3 linked regions of the Ovis aries genome follow. The protein of the gene in region 2 interacts with the protein of the main gene of each other region in a biochemical or structural test. Links are inferred from orthologs where the notes say so. Each region holds a gene or a part of one and is shown on either strand. Other genes may lie near its edges.

Region 1 (7,497 bases), on a different chromosome or scaffold from region 2:
CCACAGGCAGTGTCCCCACACGCGTGCCCATGTGGCTGTGGATGCTCGTCCACTTGGCCCAGCCCCAGGGGCACATGCCTGTCTCTGGCGGCTCCTGTGATGATGAGGGCGTCTGGATTTCTCCCTCCCAGCTGTTTAAGGGGCCCTGTTCTCATTGTGGGGACACTTGACCCGCTAGGGATGTGAGAAGCGTCTTTTTATCTGTCACCCTAAGGAGGCAGTGAGGCTTCTGGTAGGTGGAGCTGAGTACTGCTCCCACACTGCGTGGGATTGGCCCCACCATTGAGGACGTAGAGGCTCTAGACTCATTGCCCTGGTTACCACGGGGGTGGTTTGTAGGATTAAGCTTGAACTGAGGCTGTTTCTTAAGCTGTCTCCCCATGGGGCACGGCAGCATGGTGGGCCAGGGCGAGGGGCAGTATTAGAGCCTCGTGGAGGTGTCCTGAAGCCCTCCCCTCAGAGACAGCCAGACCCTGGCTTTCTCACTCCAGGTGTGCCTGTACTCACCATTTGACCACCTCGAGGTGTGCAGCCCAGTGGCATTAAGAACAGGCTGAGCACCCTTGTTCATCAGCCCCAAAGGCCCTGACCCTGCTGGCAGTCACGGTTCCCAGCAGTCCTGCATCTGCCTGCACTGCACACCTCCCACCCCTGCCGTACTTAGACTGCAGTCCAGCCCTGCCTTCTTCCCCCAGGTTTCTGAAGGGGCTGCCCGTGGAGCCCATCCTGCTCTCAGATGAGCTTAAAGCTGCGCTGGGCATGGACCCTGTCCCTGGCAGCATCAGATACATCATCGCCACTCAGGTGAGTCCTGGTTGCACACCACATGCGCCCTGCAGGCTCGCCCCAGGGCATCCACAGGAGGGCCAGTGAAGTAGCTGTGACCCTGCTCCCTGGTTTCACAGCACCTAGTGTTCCCCTCAGTCACTCACAGAATATTTAAGGACTGATGGATGCCTGTGGTGTGCAGGGGTGGGGCTGGACTGTGGTGTACCCTCCAGAGCAGGTCAGGGTCCTATCTGACTCCTAGACCTGTGACCTATGCTCTCCAGGCCTTGGCCTCTGCCGACCGCTCCAGACTTGCTATCCACTCCACGTCTGCCCAGAGGGACTGAGCCTCTGCCTGAGGATTGGGCCCTGGGCCCAGCATCACCAGGGTGTCTGACCTGCCTGCATTTCCTGGAAGGGCAGGTGCACCCTGTCCCTCCCTGATGATAATTTCTTAACCCCACAGGTGGGACCCGGGCCTCAGGTCCTGGACGACCCTGTCGCTCATCTCCTGGGTCCTGACGGTCTGCCAAAGCCAGCTGCCTGACCACCTCTTTGATGGGGCCCGGCCGCCGCTGGGAGAAGGGGCCGCTTCACTGGGATTGGGAGCCGGGTGTGGTGGTCAACAGGCCACGCTTGTTGGGATTTGTGGGTAACTGCCTGCTCTGGGCCAGGCCATGTGCTGTGGCTGAGTTGGGCAATGGATGACGCCTGCAGCCACCCAGATGATCAGGGGAAGCCCCCCCAAGTGCCTCACCTTTCCCTGACCTGCACCCAGCGCTTGCTGAGATGGGGACCTGGACCCTGATCCAAGACCAGGGGACTGAGCCGGCAGGGAGCTGCTGGTGCATCGATCATGAAGGGCCCTCAGGCCCCGGACTCATGGGCACCCCACTGCCACAGGAGGTGATGGCATGTCGGGGTACCCCTCAGAGCTGGAAGCCGGGTCACCGTGCAGGGGACGACCTCAGGACAGCTCCATGAAGTGCTCCCTCAACTCTGAGCCCAGGCCCCTGAGTGGGTGCAGTGTTGTGTCTGCGGGACAGAGGAGCAGTGCCAAGGCCAGAGTAAAGGCAGTTCGAGGACTCACCTGGCCTGGTGTGCTTTCTTCAGCCCTCACCCAGGGGGCTGGGCGGGCATTGTGGGGGGTGGGGCTGGGGCCTCCCCGCCATGCCTGGGATGCTTAGCACAGGCCACAGCCACACAGTGGTGGGTAGACGTGGTCACTAAGGCCGACAGGCTGGGGAAATGGTTCGGGTTTGGCTTTAAGCTCGGTCCACATCCCCCTTCCAAGTGAGTTCCATTCTTCTCCACTGTCCTAACCCAGCTGGGGGAAGAAGGGGGAGGGCTTCTGAGCCCTCTGACCTTGACCCTAAAAGGGAGTCCAAGGAGGGAGGTGACAAAGGACAGGGCCCAGCACTGCTACATTCTGGGTTCTCCCAGAAGCTTCCCATACTCACCCGCCCTACCCCCCCAAGTTAGTCCAGGGTTACCAGTGGGGCCAACACCACCACACCTGCACTAGCCCAGGGCCGGATGCGGCGGGCCTCCCAGGAGTCTCCCCAGGGGCTGGCCTGAAGCCCTGCTTCCCCTCCAGGGGTCCACCGAGGCCGGGCTGGCTGGGCCTGCAGGGGAGGAAGACCTGAGGTCCCGTGGAGCGAGTTGGGGGCAAGGCTCCTGAGACCCCAACCTGCAGCCGGCCTGTCACCTGGGGAAGCGGGTTGGGGCGGAGCCGGCGGCGGGGCGGGGCGGCGCCGGAACTTGGGGAACTTGGGCGGGGCGGGAGGCTTGCTGAGCTCTGGGGCCGCGGGGTCTGAAGAGTCCGAGCCGCGTTCGAGCCGATCTGCCGCCATGGGGCAGATCGAGTGGGCCATGTGGGCCAACGAGCAGGCGCTGGCGTCCGGCCTGAGTGAGTGGGGGGCGCTTTGCACTTGGGGCGGGGGCTGCAGAGGGGCTGCTGAGCCTGGGGGCGGGGCGCCGCGGCAGTGCAGGGGGGCTCTGGGGCTGGGGAAGTAGGGGCCTGGAGACCCCAGGCTGCGAGAGGTAAAGGGGAAAGGGCAGGCTGGAGAAGGGGCGGGAGCAGGGGTCCTGAGGAGCCAAAGACACCCGGCTGGAGCCTGGGGTGGGGCCCCGGGCCCGGAGGCTCCAGTGGGCGACCTACAGCGCCGGCGGGAAGGGGGCTGGGGGCCTCTGTTGGGAGCAGGGGAGGGGGATTCGGGGCCCTCCTGCCCCTGCACCCCGTGCACACCCACACCCCCATCCTCTGCCCTCTTCTCCACCCCCCACACCGTCCCCTCTCCCCTCCCCCGCACACCCTCTTCCCCTCCCCCTCTCCCTCGCCCCCCCCGACACACACAAAAGAGGAAGTTCAGTCTAGGGAAGAAGCGCTTGCCCCCGGGGTTTCCGGAGAACTCACCGCCCAGTAGGGCTGGGAAAACCCAGCATGACCCACCCCTGCCTGGAGTGACCCTCCTGCCCTGGGGTGGAAGCTCCCTCCCCTAAGGCCCCTGGGCTGCGGAGGTGGGCTCTTCCTGCCTCCTGGCCAGGCTTGGTCCATGGAACTGGGTGACCGCTCTGTCTCCCGGGGCGCAGCCCTGAGTCTGCTCAGAAGGACATTGCACAAGGCAGCTGGAGACGACCCATGTGACCCCTCCCACCCAGCTCCCAGGGCCTGCTTCTGGGTAGGAAGGCGGCCGTCCCCCCTGCTTCCCCGTGCTCAACCGCGGTTGCAGACAGTGCTGTACGCACTTGGACTCAACTTCTCAGGAGAGGGTGGGGCTTGAGGCTTGAGGAAGCCCCCCGTGGCCCCGCCCCTCCCAGGAAGGCCCCGCCCCCAGTGAGAGTGGGCGGGCGGGAGGACCTGGGGATAAAGTGATGAGGAGGGTCTCAGCCACCGCGTCTCACCTGGGACCCACCCTGAGGCCCCCACCGCCAACCTGGGGACTGAAGGAAGGAGCCTGCGAAGCTGAGCTGGGGGTGGGGAGGGAGCACTTTAAGGTCACATTTTGGGGGTGGGCAACTTTGGGGTGCCAGGCAGGGCAGCCCCCTTCTGGCTTCTAGATGGCGGAGAACCCAGTGGGTCAGTACGTGGCTTTCCTTGCTTCTGCCCAGAGCTGTCTTCTCCCAGTGCTGTCTACCCCTCCCCATCACCACCGCAATGACTACTGCTTGTCTTCCTCCACAACCTTCTGGCTCTAAATTCCTCCTCTTGCTAACTCCTGACTCAGTACCAACACAGGCCCCACGAGCATCTCAGCCCACCGTCCCTTTATGTTATAGAGAATCGCATCTGATCAGATAACGGTCCCTCCATCTCCCACCACTCTGCCCCTGCCCCTCTGACCTCGGGGGCCCACCACCCTGGTGTTTGCCACAGAGCTGGCTCCCCCCGCTTCACCTCTCTGCCCACATCCACCTGCTCCGAGCCACAGCGCCTACCTCATTCACCATGATCTGAAGTGTCTGTCCACATCGAGAGACCCCAGGCCCCTCTGGGAGCTGAGACTCCTGCTAATGACGCAGGCTCAGGCCAAGGAAATTACATGCCCAGGTCGAGTGGACGAGCCGCTGCCTGAACGCAGGAGCGATGGCTCTTCCCCTCCTCCAGCACAGCAAGTGTGAGCATGACACCAGCAGAAGAAGGCCAGGGTTCAGGGGCTGAAGGGAGGGGTGGGAGGTCAGAGCTTTTACCTCGTGGGACTCTGAGGCCAGACCGGGAAAGGCTGTCTGAACAAGAAACAGATCAAAAGATCGTCCCCTCCAAGGAGTTGTGTTATCTGCCACCACAGCCTGGACGAAGAAAGTCACAAGTAAGACAAAACTGCTGGAAACTCAGGCCTGTGCTACACAAGGGGCAGGGGCTGCCCTCTCCCACTCTATGCCACAGGGACCACCAACGAAGAAGTTCAAGTCATCAGAAAGGAGTGCTGAAGGGTGTGCTCCAGCGAGGGCGAAGCTGGATCCAGAGGGAAGATGGCTATGCCACTGTGAAGACACTGACTGTAAATAATTAATAATTGTGGCTAATTTGGGGTGAGATTAAAGATAAACCTTCTAAAGTCCACATGTAGTTCAGGAAGAGGAATTTTAAAATTACAGTTTGATCAAGTCAGTAGAAGGCAGGAGAAGCAACAAGAAAAGCTGTTCAAGAGGAAACCCAAGTAAGATAACAAAGTAAGTTATCTGTAATCACAGTCAATAAAATGTGTCAAATTCACTATCAGATTGCTTAAAGGGTGAAGAGTTTAACTCTATCAGCTAATTCATAAAAGCCCAACGTTGGAAGCAACTGACATGTCCCAAAGGCAGGAGAATGCATAAATAAATTGTGGGAAACTACCCAATGAGACAAACAGCGAGCCAGAGCTCTGTGCAAACCACCCCAGGAAGGGCCTGGACCAACCTTCTGTCAGCAAAAGAAGAGCCCTCAGAAAACCTGGGATGGGGGAGAATCTTGATATGGGTGGAGGTCACATGGTAGGGGTCACACATGTTAAAAGTCTGTGCACTTTATGTCATAGTGATACCCCAGTAAGTGACTGGAACCCTGAGGATGGGTGGCCGTGATGGAGTGACAGGTGTGAGTGTGCATCACGCCCCTGAGCGGTGCACTGAAGCTGCCGCCGTAGAAGAAAGTCACTGGGGAGGAATGGGGCCGATGCACATGCTCGCGGCAGGTGGGCTGCGATCAGGTGCACACAGGGCTGGAGAGACCAGGCCCACCCAGACCCAGCATCGCACAGAGCACACGAACAGGATCAGCCCACACACCCGAGGCCAGGACCGAGGGTCCACGCAGCTGGTACAAAGTCAACCACCAACAGCGTGGTCCTTAAATGCATTGAGCAAATGCTCAGGGTGCCGTGGCTCACAGGCCTCGGGGGTGTGTCCAGGCTAGAGCCAGGCCCTGCCTCCCTCTCAGCAGCTCCTCAGCCCCCTCCCTGCCTCAAATGCTGCTCTTGGGGAAGGGTCCCAACCCCCATGCCTATAGCCACCCCCATCATCTACCAAGGTCTCCCCCGCCTGGGTCCCCTTCCTGGGCTAACATGGTGGCGGATATGGCAGCTCTGTGGTGGACTGTTGGCCCTCCTTGGGGAGGGGGCCCTGGGGAAGGGGCCAGAGCCCCTGCAGAGATGGGGTATGGCACCTACTAACCTCCTTCTCCTCTGCCCACAGTCCTTATCACCGGGGGCATTGTGGCCACGGCCGGGCAGTTCACCCAGTGGTACCTGGGCGCCTACTCCATGTATCCTCTTGCTGCAGACCCAGGTTGGGGTCGGGGCCAGAGAGGCTGCTGCCCCTTGAAGGCAGGAGGGGCTCCGAGCAGGGAGGTGACAGAGCCTGGGGGCCTCCCTGGCAAGGGAGGGAGGTGTCCGTGGCACCTGAGGGCTGACACTGAGGCCCGAGAATGCTCGGGGTCCCTCCGTATTCCCTTCTATCAGTCACCCTCCCCAGCTGGCCTGGCCTGCCCACCAGTGGACCGAGCCCCCCTTGTCCCAGCCAGTCCAGCTGTTACAAGCCCTCCAGACGCCAAGGCAGGCATGGGGGAGGGAGGCTGCCTTGTTGGAATCCTGTGGACTTCAGGCAGTGGCCACACCTCTCTGTTCTCTCATCAAAAGAGCCGACTCCCTGGGGCCTCTCAGGCTTGATCTGGGCTGTTCCTTAACCTGCGCTTCAGAGCAGCGGGTGTATTGGTCTGCCTGCTGGAGTACCCTCGAGGGAAGAGGACCAAGGGCTCCACCATGGAGAGGTGGTGAGTTTCCTACCCTGTTCCGGGAACCACCCCCCACCCCCACCAGCTGTCACTATGAGGAGCCTGTCACTCCTGTCTGTCCGAGGCTCCAGCACCAGCCCACTCAGGGTCTGCCCTGCCACTGAGCCTGAGACCCCCTCCCCTCCCCGGGACGAAGAACCGTGTGATCTGAGAGGCTGGGGCGGGTGGAGGGTGACATGGCCTGTCTCCCCCCCGCCCAGTGGACAGAAGTATCTGACCAGAGTGGTGAAGCTGTTTGGGCCCCTCACCAGGAACTACTACATCCGGGCCTTCCTGCACCTCGGGTGAGCACGCGCCCACTTGGGACCCCTCAACGCCACCGGCAGAGGACTGCTGGGGTCAATCAGGCCTCTCCCAGCCCAGAACCTGTTCCAAACAAAACCCCAGGTCCCAGGCTCTGCCAGGGGTTCCCCAGACCTGTATCTGTCATTAACACTTCGCCCCAGCCTGATAGCTTAACTCGGATAATCGGTGCCCCAGGGTTGATGGCTCAGCCGCCCCCAGTGAGTCTGCTGGAGAGACCGCCATGCTGCCGAGACCTCTTCCCAGGGGGTGGCCGGGTGCCAAGTGCCCTGTCCAAAGACTCGGGAAGGTGCAGACCAGGCAGAGAACAGCTAGGGGTGAAGTTAAAAGTCCAGCCGCGCAGCACTGGGCCTGCTGGGCCTCCCCTCCATTCAGGGTCCTGCGATCCTGTGCTGTCTGACCCGTGCCAGGGGTGGGGGAGCTGTGGACCCCCTCTGACCATCCTCTGTCTCCCCTGTCCCCTCTGACTGCCCTTCACCCCTACTCCAGGCTGGCGGTACCTGCTGGCTTCCTGCTCGCCACCATCCTGGGGACAGCCTGCTTGGCCATCGCAAGTGGCATCTATCTGCTGGTGGGTAGCATCCTTGCAGTCAGCCTCAGCCTCATGGCTGGTCCTGCAAGCCGAGCCCGTGTCCTGGCTTATGTTGTGGGGA
Region 2 (7,663 bases):
TAGGGCTCAACCTCCCCTCCCCCCGCAGCCATCCGAAGGGACCCCGAGTCCTGCGAGAAGCTAGAGACCACGGTGCTCCAACTGCGGCGTGACCAGAAAGGTCTGGGGCGGGCAGGGGGGCCGGATGGGGCCTCGTGAGGCTGGGGGCATGGGGGCAGGTGTGACTGTGCCCGTTGTCCACAGAGGCCTTGCTGCGCTTCTGCGTCACGTGGAACACCAACTCGCGGCACTGCCACGAGGCCCAGGCAGTGCTGGGCGTGCTGCTGCGGCATGAGGCCCCGGACGAGCTGCTGGCCTACGATGGTGTACGGGCCTCGCTGGAGGGCCTGCTGCCCTACACTGGTGAGTGGGCCGGCCGGGGGGCAGGCAGGGCCGTCTGCCACACTCGGCCACCCCTGACAGCCTGCGATCCTCCCCCAGAGCGGCACTTCCAGCGGCTCAGCCGGACGCTGCAGGCAGCCACCTTCCTGGACTTCCTATGGCACAACATGAAGCTGCCCACCCTCCCCGCGGCCCCCGCGGCCCTCTGAAACACAGAAACACGGACTCTGCTGTCTTGGCTCCTTGTGTCTGTCTTGACTTCATCTCACCCCCTGGTCCTGGGCCACAGGTGGCCCACCCCCAGACCTGCCCTTCAACACAGACACGGCACGGTCAGTCAGGAGAGCTTTACTCAGGGCACACCAGGGGCATGCGGCCCAGCAAGCCCCACCTCCACCGCTCCTCCCATGGCCCTGAGGCTGAGGTGGCTGTTAGCCGTCATCCCTGGGCTCTGGAGCCTGGGGTGATCCCTGGGGTCTGGGGTGCACAGCACCGCCCTCCACGATAAGCCACACTCTCTCAGGGGGCTCCCTGCCGTAGTGCCTTACGGGTGATGGTGCAGCAGCGGCTCTGAATGGCACTCAGAGGCGGCCGAGCAGGCACAGGAGGCGGAAGCATCACGGCCTGGGGGGACCTGGGGGAGCCATGGGCCTTGCCCTCCCCGCCCTCTGCACCATCAGCCCCATGGTGGAGCCACGGCCCGCTGAGGAGGGTGCCCAGCCCATCATGCTGCAGTGTCACAGCTGGGAGAAGACCGGTGCAGCCTCGGAACCTGTAGGACGAAGAGTTTGGTTGGCTCTGGGCCCCGCCCCACCCCACCCCGCCCCGCCGCGCCGCACCAGACCGGCTGCCGGAGCCCCAGCCCACACACCTGCACAGCCACCAGCCTCGGTCAGAGGCTTCCAGCACATGCACGCGTGCCCCTGCGGGCACGGACAGCTCATCAGCCCGGCTGCTCTCATAGGCGCAGACAGCACAGAACTGGGGCCCTGGGGGTAGACGCTGGGTGGTCACCATGGGGCTTCAGAGGTTTCTCTCAATACCAGAGACCCCTTCTAAAGCCCAGTGGGACCAAGCAGACACTGCAGGGCCACCGTCGCCCCCGCCATCCCGTGGCGCCTCTCCCCCAGCGCGTGCTGGACACTGCCCCATGACGGCGGGGGTGTGGGGAGGAGGGTCAGTCTCACCGCTTATCCCCAGGGGCTGTCCCCCATCCTGTCCCTGGTGTGGGGCCGCCTCCTCCAGGTAGGGAGCAGGAAACCATGCCGTCTGCTGGTCCTCGTTTGCCACTAGCCACCAGCCTGTGCCCGAGAGGGGGACGGGTGGGGTCTTCAGTTCCTGCAGCCCGCTGGGATCCCAGGGGCTGAAGGGCCTGTCCCTCTGACTGCCACCAGCCCACCTGCGGGGCATCAGCCCACCTGAGGGGTGTCGTAGCAGCACATCCAGGGCCTCCTGGGCCTGAGCGCGGAAGGGCTGGCCCCGAGTGTCCTGCGTGCTGAAGGGCTGCAGGCAGCGCAGGCTCTGGGCCTCCAGGGTGCGGATGGCAGGGCTGCCTGGGGGGCCTGGCGGGGGCTCTTGCGGGTTGGGCAGGATCACCAGGCTGGTGAGGGCCCAGGGTGCAGGGGAGAGGTGTCAGGTGTCTCCCACAGGCCCGTCCAGCCTCCAAGCCTTCCCACTTGTGGGCTCTTCCCCACCACTCCTCCCCCGTCCTCGGGGCAGGCACCTGCCGGGTGGCAGCATAGGCTCCAAGTCCAGAGGTTGTGGCTCGAAGAAGCCAGTGAGCACCGGGCTGTGGGACACACGCTCCCCGGCCACCAGCAGCGCCCTTAGGTAGGCCTCCAGCAGCTGCAGGCGGGCCAGGCCTCGGCCGGTGCGGCCTCGGAGCACCAGCCAGGGTGCATCAGCTGCGGGCAGGACGGGGCAGCTGTGGGAGCCCCGCCCAGGCTCCTCACATCCCACTGCTGCCGCCCCCACCCTCCTGGATCCCTGCTGGCCTGACCTGGGAGCTTGGGGAGAACGCGATCAGATCTCCGCAGCAGGCCTGCCTCCACCGGGAAGGTCTCCTTGAGGGTTTTCTGAGCGAGAAGAGGCATCATTGGTCTCCGAGGGCCCACTAGGTTCCCCTGGGAGGGCAGGCAGGGGTCCCTTGGCTGAAAGCCTGAGTGGGCACAAGGGCAGGGTGTGGGTGGTCTCCCGTGGGTCAGGCTGCTGGGGAAGTCGGGTGGCCGACTCACGTGGAGTCTCCTGAAGTCCCCCCAGCTTCTGCGCACGAAGCTGTCGCTGCCATCGGACCAGCACACGGAGAAGGCGAACGCCTGCTGGGGGAGGTTGGGGGCGTCTTGGAGGCGCTGGGCCAGGAGCTCCCCCACCTCCTCTGGGGCTGGCAGGGGTCCCATGGGCTCCTACCTGGAGCCTGTCTGTCTGCACCAGAGCTGCCCCACTCACACACACCGGGTGCCGGGCTCCCGCCATCCTGGTGACCTCCCCAGATCTCCGTGAGGGACTTCTGGGAGTCTGCTGGGCGTGACCCCGGGTCCCACTACCTCCCTGCCCATGGGGGTAGGAGGGAAGGCCTTGGGCACCCGGAAGGCTGGAATTCCCCAGCAGTGCCCCAGTCCTGGCTGCACCACCCTGCCCTTGACTGGGGCCTTCCCCGCTTCCTTGCCGCACCCCTCACCTGGGGAGGCAGGGGCATGGGGCTCCCCGGGTAGGAGGGGAAGCAGTGACGGTGGGGGGGCGGTTCCTGCCAGAGTGTGAGCGTGGGGGGAGGAGGGGAAGGAAGGGCCATTAGAGCACCGCCAGGCCACCCCTCCCGGCTCGCCACGCCCTGCTGGTGCCCAGGCTGGGCAGAGCCGCCCAGTGGCCTGGTGTGCCCCTGGCTCTGTCCCTGAGCTGACTGTAGTCGTCACCAGGAAAATATTAAAGGCTCTTAAGTGCTTTGTTTGGCTTAATCCTCACATTGGAGGAAAGGTCTCTTAATGTCCCCAAATGGCAGAGGAGGAAGTTTGTGTTAAACATATATTGTCAGGGTTTCTTCATCTGCTGGGGAGAGGCAGACCTCACAGGCCCACCCCACAGGTCCTGCTGTGGTGGAGGGGCTTGCAGCAGGATGAAGAGGGTCCATCTGTAGTCACTAGCATTGGGAATAGTGAGGTGGAATTGGGAATGGCTAGGACTGTTCTGAGAATCACCTCTGAATTCATGATTTATCAGTGCGCTGCAGACACAACCTCTGAGGTCAGGAGTGACCCTCCCCCAACTGGCTGGGGCGCTGAAGGGAAGGCCCTAGAATCCCCAGACGTTGCGCCCGGGGGCCACATCTCGGGACCACCGCCTTACAGGGGAGCCGAGAGCCCATCCAAACCTGGCGCACAGGGGTTCTTCCTTACCCCCGCCCACACCTCTGAGAGCTGGGAGGGGCGGCCAGCCTGGCGGCACTCTGACAGCCCTTCCCCTCCTCCTTCAGTCACACTCTGGCAGGTGGGCCTCAGTCCCAGCTCCTCCACCCAAGCCCTGGAGGGAGGGAGGGGTCAGGAAGCCACCCCGGCCTGACAAAAGGCCTTTGTGCATCTGTCCAGCCAGAGGCGCTCTCTGAAGCCTTCAAACCTCCCCGGGTCTTGGCCCAGGCAATGAACACCTGTGGACACAGGCCTAATTTTTACAAAGTGCCTTCAGTCCAGCTGTCACACTCTTGGCAATCTCAGTGGGGGCCGCTGGCCTGGTAGGGTACAGAGTGGGACGGCTCCTGCTCCCTTGGAAGACAGAGAAGTTGGAGAAGGGCCAGTGTGCTCACAGCCAGGGACCTAGAAGGACGCTGCAGCCCCTCCCTGCATGGCTGACCCATGTTCCCCACCCCCCCCAACTGAGATGCTCTCCACACTCTCCACATTCCCTCCCTCACCTCTCACCTGGACCACTACAACAGCTCCATGCTCCCCCCTCAAAGCCTGTGGTCCTCACTTGCTGTCGTGAAATCCACTCTCCAGAAGAATCTATGCAAAACCGAAATGGGATCAGGCCAGGGTACCCTCCCCCAAACTTCCCAGCACTGTCCCAGGGTCCTCAGCACACATCCCCAGCTCCTGGGTCAGTTGATGGTGTCCTCAGTGGGCTCCTGGCCACCTCAGGACCTCTGCTCACACCACCCTTCCCAGGTCCTGTCCCACACTGGCCTTTCTGCCCATGCAGGAAGTCAAGCTCCTCCTCCCTCCTGCGTTGGCTCTGACAACCCTCCTCAGCTGATTTCTCATTCTTCAGGCCTCTCTGCCTAAAGGTCAACTCCTCAAGGAGGCCTCCTAGATTTAACACACCCTGTTCATAGCCTCCATCACAGCTTGTATCTAAACACTTATTAGTGTGACTCTTGTTTTTTCCGTCTCGACCACTAGACTGAGGAGGTCAGGGAGGAATGAATCTTGCTCCTGGCCCTGTCCAGAGCCTAGAGCAGTGCTAAAGACAGATCAGGCACTACACAGGTATTTGCAGAATCAATTAATGTGCATATTAATGTACATGTGGAATTAAAGTACATATGGAAGCAGTGGTATCCCTGAGACCACGCCCCACCTGGGTTTAACCCCTTCAGGTAGGCTGTGGGGCTGAGCAGAGAGGAGAGGGGCTGCTCAGTGCTCCCCGGAGTCCAGAGACGCACCTCCTCCTTTGCAGGCTCGACCCGCCCAGCCTAGGCGGGCACCCGTGGCGATGGCGCCGGTCGCCTAGGCGGACTCGCCGAACCTTCAGCTGCACCGCCCTTTGTGCGCTCACAGCCCCGCCCCGCATTGCCCAGGCGCCAAGCACCGGTCCCGGGCGCGCCCCCAGCGGAGGGCACAGAGCCAAGCCGCAGGCACGCGAGAAGGTCGGAGCGGAGCGATGAGGCCGTCGCGGGCCTCAACACGGAGGTCCAGAAGGCCGCAGCCCGAAGCCGCGTCGCTCCCATGGGTCGTCATCCACAACACAGTGACATACTCGAGGAAGCGGGAGCTGTGCTACGGCCGACACAAGACCGGCTCGGGCGGTGGAACGAGGCCCAGGCGCAAGGCTAAGGCTCGGCGCTCCGGCGCCGCGCAAACCGCGGCTCGGGCCTCCGGCGCGTCCCCAGTTCGCACTCCTGCATCTCCCGGGGCGCGGACCCGGGCCGCCAGCCGCGCCCCCGCACCGGGCCCCGCCCCCGGGCCCAGCTCCGCGTCCGCGGCGCGCGCGCCCGGCTTCTGCGGTCGCGCTCTGGCGGCGGCGGCGCGCGCGCTGGCCTGGAGCCCGCCTGGTTGCGGTCGTGGCGGCTGCGCTGGCCCGGCAGGCACTGCGCGGGCGGCATGGCGGCGCCCAGCGAGCGCGGCCGCTTCGGCACTGGGATCTTCCTTCCTGGCGGCGCGCGCTCCGAGGTGACGGACGACCTGGTGACGGACGCGCGCGGCCGCGGCGCGGGTGGGAGAAAAGCCGCTGCTTCGGCCCGGGCGCCATCCGCGGGGCCGGCGTCCGACCCTCCGGCCTCCGAGCTCGCCTCCCCGCGGTGGCCCTGCCGGGCCTGCGTGGACTTCAAGTCGTGGATGCGCACGCAGCAGAAGGTGCAGGCGTAGGGGGGCCCCCACACCTTGTCCTCGGGCACCCTGGACAGGCTCCCCGCCCCCTCCCCGGGGGTCGGCGCTTCCTAACCGTGCCCCCAAGGTAGGCCCAGCCTTTTGGCTCTTGGCCATGTGTGGGCTGGATCGGCCCCAGGACTTTTTCTCCGGTCAGTGGGTCTCCGGCTGGGGCGGAAAAAAAAAAAATAGGGAACTTTGTAGGTTTCTGGTCGGGGAAAACCGAACTGACCCTTGGTCGGCCTCCTTCCACAGCGGGACAGCAAGTTTAGGGAGGATTGCCCTCAGGATCGCGAGGAACTGGGCCGCAACAGCTGGGCTGTCCTCCATACCCTGGCTGCCTACTACCCCGACCTGCCCACCCCAGAGCAACAGCAGGATATGGCCCAGTTCATACATTTATTTTCCAAGTTTTACCCGTGTGAAGAGTGTGCCGAAGACATAAGGAAAAGGTGAGTCGTGTCTGCAGAGTGTGCAGCCTGGGTCTGGGGCCCCTGGCAGATGCCATAAAGGGGAGCCTAGAGAAGTAGAGGCCGTCGTGGCAGCGGGTTGTCTAGAGCAGGGACCACCAACAGCGGAGGGATTCTGGAGCCATCGCCTTTCTCCTTAAAGGCCAGGCCTGGGGCTGCTGCTGGGGGCTGCTGCTTTCTGCAACCACGGAGTTCCCTCCCCGGGAGGGCTACTCTCATGAGATCCCTTGCTTTGCACTGATGAAGACTCTGGCAGGTTTCCAGGGACTCCACTCTGTCTAGCTTCTGGAGCAGGACCTTCAGTTTCAAGGCCTTGGGAACTCACTGCTTTTGCTTCCAAGAGCCACCTTTTTGGGGAGCCCAAGAACTGTTGTTTGGCAGCCATAAGCATTTCTGGGCTGGCTGTGGGGTAAAAAGGGCAGCCCTTGCTGTTTGGAGCCTGGGCATTTATTTATACGAGGTCTCTTGCTGAGGTGGTGTGGTAGGGCCAAAGGTGTGAAGAAGCAGACCTGGTTTTCAGGTAGGCCTTTATTCCAGCCCTGCCCCTCCACACGCTGCCTGGGGCCAGGGACGCTAGGGTGAGGCCTCCTGATTGTTATGAGGCTGTAAAGTGGAGACCTTGTGCCTTAATGTCTTGCCCGGGGCTCTTGTCAGGGTTTGCCACGTGCCCTAGGTAGGGGTTGGAGCAGGCCTAAGAGTCAACTGGGACTTGAGGCTGGAGGGTCAGCTCCCTTCTGGGAATTCCTCAGAGCATGAGGGCACCCCTAAATCTAGGCCCCAGCTCTCTTCCCTGGATTGGGCAAGCCAGGAAGATGGTGGGGCGGGCATGCTGGGAGCACAGCCTGCCCCCTCCTGCACGTGCTCCCCCTCACGCAGGATATACAGGGACCAGCCAGACACGCGCACTCGGGTGAGCTTCACCCAGTGGCTCTGCCGTCTGCACAACGAGGTGAACCGGAAGCTGGGCAAGCCAGACTTCGACTGCTCACTGGTGGACGAGCGCTGGCGCGACGGCTGGAAGGATGGCTCCTGTGACTAGCCAGCGGCTGAGCCTGGGGAGGCCCGGCCAGAGGGGGCGGGGCTCATTAAAGTGCCATCACACACAGAGCCGGTGGTGTCTCCGTTGGGTGGTCCCCAGACCCTGCCCTGGGAACCCTCTCCCTCTCCGGTTCAGAGGAGAAGTGGAGGAGCCCGATGCAGGCACCTCAGTGGTGGCCTCCTCACTGTGGGCCTGTGAGGCTATCGACGGGAGGCAGGGGCAGCCCAGGACGTCCCTTCCCTTCAGGATTTGGCCTCCTG
Region 3 (6,674 bases), on a different chromosome or scaffold from region 2:
CTCAGGGTGAGAACGCACTGCACGGTGACGGTCGCCAAGGACTCAGGGTCCCCCGGAGCTGCTCCCTGGGTGCAGGAGAACAGTGGCTGGGCCCCAAGGCCCCAGGTCCGGCCGGGGTGGGCTTCAGGCCCAGGGGGAAGGGCAGGGGCGGAGTGGGGGGCGGGGGCCACGGACTTGGGAGGCTTCCTCAGCTGGATCGGAGCGGGGCCTGGCCTCGGGGCCCTCACGTCCCTGGGGAGTGGGGGTGACGTGACAGCTGCTGGCTCTTACCCCTGCGCCGGTGGGCTCCTCGGAGGAGCCAGGGCTGGGCTCCCCAGCTGCCAGCAGCCCTGCAGGGAGAAAGGAGGGGGGAGCCAGGGAGCCAGGTGACTGCTGTCCTCTGAGGGGAGCCAGTCAGAATAGGGGCTGCTGGCACCCTGCTCCCGGGAACCACAAGGTCACCAGCTTCCGCTGTGGAGGACCCAGCAGCTCCCAGCACTCCCCACAGACGCCTGCCTGGGCCCTGAGAACACCCCGCCCCCCAGGGGGCCCTCACAGCCCGCCCCGCACGGGGCCTCACCTGGAGGAGCCTGCTGGCCAGCGTCCTCCCCGTGGGCACTCTGCAAGGAAAGCCACAAGCTGGGGCTCTGCTGGGCCTCAGGTCCGGGCAGAGGGTGGGGGCGGGGGATCTGCTGGGCCCAGCAGACCGGGGGGTGAGGGGCACAGCCTGCAAGATGGCCCGGCTGGGCAGGAGGCCACCAGCCCAGCCCTGCCACGGGTAAATCTGGAGCATGAACCAGATCCCTGTGACCGGAGATGACAGACCGGCCGCCGTGCCTGTGGGCGCGGAGCTGTCTTCCCCTGGCCCACCAGGAGGTGGCAGCTGCAGCTGAGACCAGCCCGGGAGGCTGGGGCTGAAGCCAGGGACCCGCTGGACATCACTCTGCGTCAGGGCCGCAAGCCTTGGGCATGCTGCGGGCGGGACGACACAGAGCCCCCAGCCCAGGCCGCCTGACCCACGGATGGAGACCCCGACTTCAGGATGGGTTAAGTGGGCTGTTTGCACATGAAGCATTAGGATTTACCGGCTGCTGGAAGCAGTCAGGGAGCTGCTGCCGTTCCGTCTGGAAGGCCTAGCGCTCAGCACAGCAGTGATGAACCGACGGCTTTCAAGAGCACTGATCAGCCCAGCGAGTGAGCCGGGCCTCAGTGGATGAGGAGGGGGAAGGACCATCTCGTTCTCACCCGAGCCCCTTGATAACGTGAATGTGCGAGGCTGCTTTCTCTGTGGTTAACTCTAACTTCCTCACAGCGGCCTCACGGCCCCTGGCATGCCACCCCTCAAGGCACACCTGCCCAGCACACCTGCCCTGAGAAGCCTGAGCCAACCCCTCCTCAGCTGCACGCAGCCCCTGGGGCATCTCGGAGAGTCCCGCGTCCAGCAAGGAAGGCCGGGCGCCCCAGCTGAGGGGCGGAAGCCTCACGGCTCTGAGGCACACACTGCAGCCCCTCCCGGGTCCAGGGTGGGGAGCACCCCCAGCTCCCCGCGGGGCACCTATGAACGTCCGTGTGTCCCTGACTCCTGGCATCTGGTCGCTGCGGCTGGCTCCCACCCGGCCCCTGGCCTGCCTAAGGAAGCCGGAGCCCTGTCCCCAGCAGGTGATGAGGCAAGCTGCCCGGCCTGAGATGCCCCGCTCGGGCTGATCCCCAAGCCCAGCCTGGGGCGGGGGTCTTGCAAATGCTGTGGCCTCTGCCTGCCCCGCCGGGGCTCACCCACCTTGTGGGTAACCAGCGTGCCGTGGTCGTGCTGCCCAGCCTGGCCGGAGCTGACCTCCAGCTCCACGTCAGCGGGTGTCCTGGGGCTGCAGGGGGTGTCAGCTCTGCCGGGGGCAGTGTCACGGGCCCTGGAGGGGAGGGGCCCTCGTTCCCAGGCCTCCCCCACGGGCAAGGCCTCGTGGGGGGTGGGCCTGCAGAGCCCCGAGCTGGAGAGGAGCACCCCACTCAGAGGGCCGCCTGCAAGGCTGCGTCTAATGGCTTTTCCTGCAGCCTGTGGCCAGCTGCACCCCACCGGTGCCTCTGGTGCCCCCCCGGCCTGAGCGGGGGTGGGCTCTCCCCCTGGGGGCAGGATGCGCTCAGGACAGATGGGAGGGCTGACTGAGGTGGGATGCCCCCCACCACACTGGGACCCTGGACAGTCTGGAAAGGGGACAGGCCACACTGGCCCCTGGTCCCTGGCCCTGAGTGGCCGCAGCGGGTCTGCCCAGGAGCTCCAGCATCAGGCCAGGAGGCAGGCCTCGCAGGGCCCCTGCTGATAGGAGAAGTGGAGGCCAACCCCTTCCTACCGTGCAGCAGCCCTGGGCCTGGCTTCACCACGCACGTCCAGAACCTGTGGGCACAGACAGCTCCTGCTCAGGACGCAGACCCCCAGGAGCCCCAGGGGCCAGGGGGCAAGGCTGCAGGATTTTCACCGGCTCTCACCAGGATGGGCTACCCCCTAAGTTTAGATCGGAGGGACATGGGGAGCCCCGGGGAGAGTTCAGGCACCCCTAAGGGTAAAGAATCCAGGAGGCCTGGACCTGCCAACGCCAGAGGAGACACGGGGGGCGGGAGGCGGCTCGCCTACCTGTGGCTGTGGCGGGGCGACCCCGTGTGAGCCGGCGGGGAGGGCGGAGGCCAGCACCTGTGAGCAGCAGCAGGGGCGGCGCCTCAGCGGTGCCCGGCCTGCTGCCCACCTGCACCCCCGAGTCCCCGCCTGCCTGGTGGGCCTGCCGGAGCCTGGCTTATCTGTGTGACTTATTTTCAGTACTGCTTTTAGAAGGTTCTTATTTCGTAGCAACAGCCACATCCTGCGGCAAGGGCTCCGAGTGGGTGGATTAATGCAGCTCAGAAGCACCTCCTCCAGGCAGCCCTCCAGCTAAGACACCCAGTGCCTGGCCCTGGGTGACTGGGGCGTCAAGGGCCCGGGCCACAGCTAGAGACCAGAGTGAGCCTCCCTTTGTGCACAGGGAGCCCTCTTTCCCCACACACCAGCCCAGCCTGGGGCAAGCTGCATCCCATCAGCCGGCGATTTTGCTGGTGCCACTTGCCCGGACCCCGGGCTGGGCAGAGGTGGCCAGGCCAGACCTCCCTGTTCCTCCAGGTTCCTGCCCCCTGAGGCCGAAGTGCAGGGCGAGGTTGAAGCCAGGAGAGCGAGGCTGCGGCTGAGGCAGGCAGGGCTGGGCCGGCTGGGGTGCGCAACGGCTTTCAGTAGCTCCGCCTCCAGGTCCCAGGACTTACCCGTGAGCACTGCTGCCCCGGGAGCCTTGTGCCCCCTCTCACCCCAAGGCCTCGATGGCCCCAGTGCTCCGGACAATGTGAGCTCAACAGGGCCTGGCCGCCCGCCCTGCGGCCTGCTGGAGCCGCTGGCCCCAAGGCCTGGGCCCAAGCAGAGAGAAGCCGCCTCCTTTTACCTTGGCCTTGCCCAGGAAATCCACAGGCTCCAGGTGCTCCACGTGCCGCCTATGGGGCCGGAAGACCTCACCCCTGGGGACCTGCCGAGGCTGCAGGGGGACCTGTTTCTGGAGGGGGCCGGATAGGGGAGCCCTGAGCGCTGGTAGCCGCCCGGAGCCTCAGAGCAGGACGGCCCACTCCCCAACTCTCACGGCCTGTGGGAGTCCCATCCCCCGCAGGGCACACAGGCCCCCCACCTCCAGACTTTTCTTTATCTCATATAGTTAGTCTTGGGGGGCTGGATGGATGTGAGCCCCAAAACTGCAGGCTGTGGGCCTGGCAAGACCCCCCGAGTCAGCTCAGGAGCCTGGCTCCCCTCGCCTGCCCCCCTCGCCTGTCCCTTACCTGCACTTGGCCCAGGGCGATGTCCAGGTCGTTGCGGACCCCTTCCGGCCCCTTGGAGATGGCGTCCCCCAGGCTGCAGGCGGCCTCTGTCCAGAGCCCCAGCTGGCTCTGCACTGCAGCCACATTGAACAGCACCTGAGGGCAGGGGGTGCGGGTGGGGGGCGAGGTGATGGCAGGTCCAGCGTTCCCCTCCCCCGCAGGGCCACCATCTGGCCCCGCACCTGGCCCTGCACTGGTCCAGCCCCTGAGCTGCCCAGACACAGTGGCCCGGGGCTCTTCCAGGTGCCCCCTGGCTCCCGCCCCAGGGTGGGCTCTGCCTGGCTGGTTTCTCTCTGGACCCCCCAGCCAGAGCCAACCAGCCCTCACTGCTTCTCCTCTGCTCTGAACGTCAGGCCGTCTCCCGTCTTCGGAAACATCCGCTCAGCCTTCACGCCTGTCCTGAGTTTGGCCTGACCCCCTCCTGCCCGTGCTGCCCTGTTCCCTGAACCCCCAAGAGTCTGGGGCACTATCTGAGGGGCGCCTCTTGTCCGCCCCTTCCCGCCCGAGCTGGGGGATAGCAGTCAAGTCGTCCAGTGCTGCCGGGAGGACGGAGCGCCGCCCGGGACAGCCCCGTCCCCACGCTCTGCAGGGACTGTGCGCTCCTCGGCCCGCTGCCACGGGTCTGCCCGGGCCACGGATGCCAAGCCCACGCCCCGCCCTACAGGCCAGGGCTGGGGCCTGGCCCACCCTGGTGGGACTCCCCCCATGGCTGACCGACCAGACACTGCAGCTCCCAGAGGCTACAAGGCGGCCTGTTTCTGGGAGCGGTGGGGGAACCTCCCAAGCCTTTCTCTCAGTGCCGGCTACTTCCCAGGAGGCCAGGAATTGAGCCAAGCACCAAGCCCAGGGCAGGGACGCCAGGGCCCACTGCCAGGCCAGCTCCCGCCCTGCCCACCCCGCCACCTCTCGCTGACCTCCAACACTGCCCTCTCCTGCTGGGATTTTGGGGGCCCTCTGGCCAGAGGGAGCACCTCACTTAACTCGGGCCCACCTGCACAGTGACAAGATGACAGGGCCCAGAGGGTGGGGCCAGCCCTGGAAGGACCCCCCGGGCTGCCCGCCCACAGACAGCCCCCAGGGCCCAGCCACACGGCCTCCTGGTGGCCCGCTCCCCGCACACTCACCTCCCAGGCTTGCAGCTTGAACCGCAGGCCCAGCTGGGTGTAGTCAATAGCGGTGTTATCCCTCAGCTGGGCCAGGGTGCGCTGGAAGTCGGACAGGGCCTCCTGGAACCTGTGGGCAGTAGGGGAGCCTGGTGTGGGGGCCCTGGGCGGCCCCAGGGCAAGGGCTCCACCTTGGCCCGGACCCGGCCCCCGCCCCAGCCCCTCCTGCAGCACGGGGGCAGCGGCGGTCGGCAGGCCTCAGCACACGGGGTCCACACAGACGGGCTGTGCAGCATGTGGGCTCCTCCACCTGCACCGCAGGCCCTCTCCTGAACCTCGGGGTGCAGAGTGCCCTGCCTGCTTCCGGGGTCTCCGTCCCACAGGCCTCCCCACCCCGACCCCGGCTGGATGCCCCAACCCCAACCAGGATCCTCATTGCCCCGGGGCAGGCTTCCGGGCTGATGAGAAGGAGGTGACCCCAGAGCCCGCCCACCCTGTGTAGCGCCTTCTGTGGGCGCCGGGCCTGCCCTGCAGCTCTGATTCCTTCTCTGGGAAGGGCCTGGCACAGAGAGCCGCGTGGGCAGAGGACCCCCCGCCAACCCCGCCCAGTCCTGGGATGCACCATTCCTCCAGCCTTGCCCTGGGTTTCCCGAAGGCAGAATGGGCAGAATCATGCCGTCCCTGCAGTCCAGGGGGTAGGAACGGAGGAGGGGAGCCAGCAGAAGCGGTCTGTGACCCTCTTCCAAACAGAGCCCAGGGTCACTGTGCAGCCCGGCGTGGGGACAGAGAGACACGCCCCCACGTGAGCCCGGGGAGAGCTGGCCAGAGGAGGTGACCGTGGGCAGAGAGGAGCACAGGCAGGACTCTGCAGAGACGAAGGGCCGTCAGAGAAGGAAGAGGGCACGTCTGTGTTCACCTCTCCAGCTGGAAGTTGGCCACTCCGCGCTGGAGGAAGCCAACAGCCAAGCAGGCGTCCTTAGTCACCGCCCGGTCAAATGCCTGCGGACAGAAATGTCTGTGAACTGCTCAGGCCTGTAGCCCCGTCACCACCGTGTCACAGATGGGGATGCCCAGCAGTGGGTCAAGGAAGCCCGTCGGCCACATGACCGTCACCTGTAAGAGAAAGCCTCCCTCGCCTGCCCAGGGGCCTCTGGGTCCAAGGGGCGCAGGCGTCACGGCTTCAACGCAAACCTGCCTGGGCTCCCCAGGTGTTTTCTGATGGCTGCTCGGGGGTAGTTAGATGGCGGCACAGACCAGCTTGTTAACCACGAGGAGGAGGAAACGCTCCAGCACGTTGATAATAGTTACCTCCACGGAGGGAGTTATGTTAAGACTGTTGTCTCCTTCAAGCCCTAGCTTTGGTGGTTCACACAAAAAGACACACGTTTCATCTATTAGAGTCAGAAGGAAGAACAGCACGAAAGCCTTAATGTGCGTGTGAAGCCCAGCTCTTCCTGAAACTGAACTCAGAAATGATGCCGTCTGTTCCTAAGGACAGCAGCCATCAGGCAGACGCAAGCAAAAGGAGTGCACCCAGCAGCCACCAAGTTAAACACAGGCAACTGGAGGGTGTCACGGCCCCGCTCTAACAAACCTGGCCGAGCGCGGGCTTGTCGAGCTGAGTCTGACCGAGGCTGAGGGTCAGCACTCGGGCACTGATGTGGCCGCTCAGCACAAGGGAAACCCTTTTATCCTGCCACATAGAGTGGCCAGATAGGA

The links.
Region 1: the proteins of NOXO1 (region 2) and cytochrome b-245 light chain form a complex in vitro, tested with the Homo sapiens proteins (3 studies listed by IntAct). The link is inferred for Ovis aries from reciprocal best matches to the Homo sapiens genes NOXO1 and CYBA.
Region 3: the proteins of NOXO1 (region 2) and NOXA1 form a complex in vitro, tested with the Homo sapiens proteins (2 studies listed by IntAct). The link is inferred for Ovis aries from reciprocal best matches to the Homo sapiens genes NOXO1 and NOXA1.

Annotation. Positions count from the first base shown.
Region 1 is NC_056067.1:13,432,767-13,440,263, reverse strand, and holds the start of cytochrome b-245 light chain, read left to right. Parts: upstream 1-2,568; 5' UTR 2,569-2,619; coding exon 2,620-2,677; intron 2,678-5,943; coding exon 5,944-6,013; intron 6,014-6,445; coding exon 6,446-6,520; intron 6,521-6,741; coding exon 6,742-6,825; intron 6,826-7,333; coding exon 7,334-7,415; intron 7,416-7,497. Other genes in the region: MVD (diphosphomevalonate decarboxylase), read left to right, coding at 696-804, 1,235-1,315. UniProt on the Homo sapiens protein: Subunit of NADPH oxidase complexes that is required for the NADPH oxidase activity that generates, in various cell types, superoxide from molecular oxygen utilizing NADPH as an electron donor.
Region 2 is NC_056077.1:2,057,642-2,065,304, forward strand, and holds NOXO1 (NADPH oxidase organizer 1), read right to left. Parts: upstream 5,104-7,663; 5' UTR 4,973-5,103; intron 4,314-4,972; 5' UTR 4,230-4,313; intron 3,046-4,229; exon of another isoform or gene 2,869-3,045; 5' UTR 2,794-2,868; coding exon 2,728-2,793; intron 2,640-2,727; coding exon 2,556-2,639; intron 2,397-2,555; coding exon 2,321-2,396; intron 2,226-2,320; coding exon 2,045-2,225; intron 1,922-2,044; coding exon 1,740-1,921; intron 1,623-1,739; coding exon 1,509-1,622; intron 1,311-1,508; coding exon 1,193-1,310; intron 1,094-1,192; coding exon 841-1,093; 3' UTR 654-840; downstream 1-653. Other genes in the region: TBL3 (transducin beta-like protein 3), read left to right, coding at 29-100, 184-342, 421-530; GFER (FAD-linked sulfhydryl oxidase ALR), read left to right, coding at 5,631-5,882, 6,150-6,346, 7,241-7,403. UniProt on the Homo sapiens protein: Constitutively potentiates the superoxide-generating activity of NOX1 and NOX3 and is required for the biogenesis of otoconia/otolith, which are crystalline structures of the inner ear involved in the perception of gravity.
Region 3 is NC_056056.1:550,727-557,400, forward strand, and holds part of NOXA1 (NADPH oxidase activator 1), read right to left. Parts: intron 5,955-6,674; coding exon 5,872-5,954; intron 5,086-5,871; coding exon 4,977-5,085; intron 3,949-4,976; coding exon 3,814-3,948; intron 3,537-3,813; coding exon 3,429-3,536; intron 2,660-3,428; coding exon 2,603-2,659; intron 2,366-2,602; coding exon 2,322-2,365; intron 1,884-2,321; coding exon 1,757-1,883; intron 600-1,756; coding exon 560-599; intron 330-559; coding exon 175-329; intron 66-174; coding exon 1-65.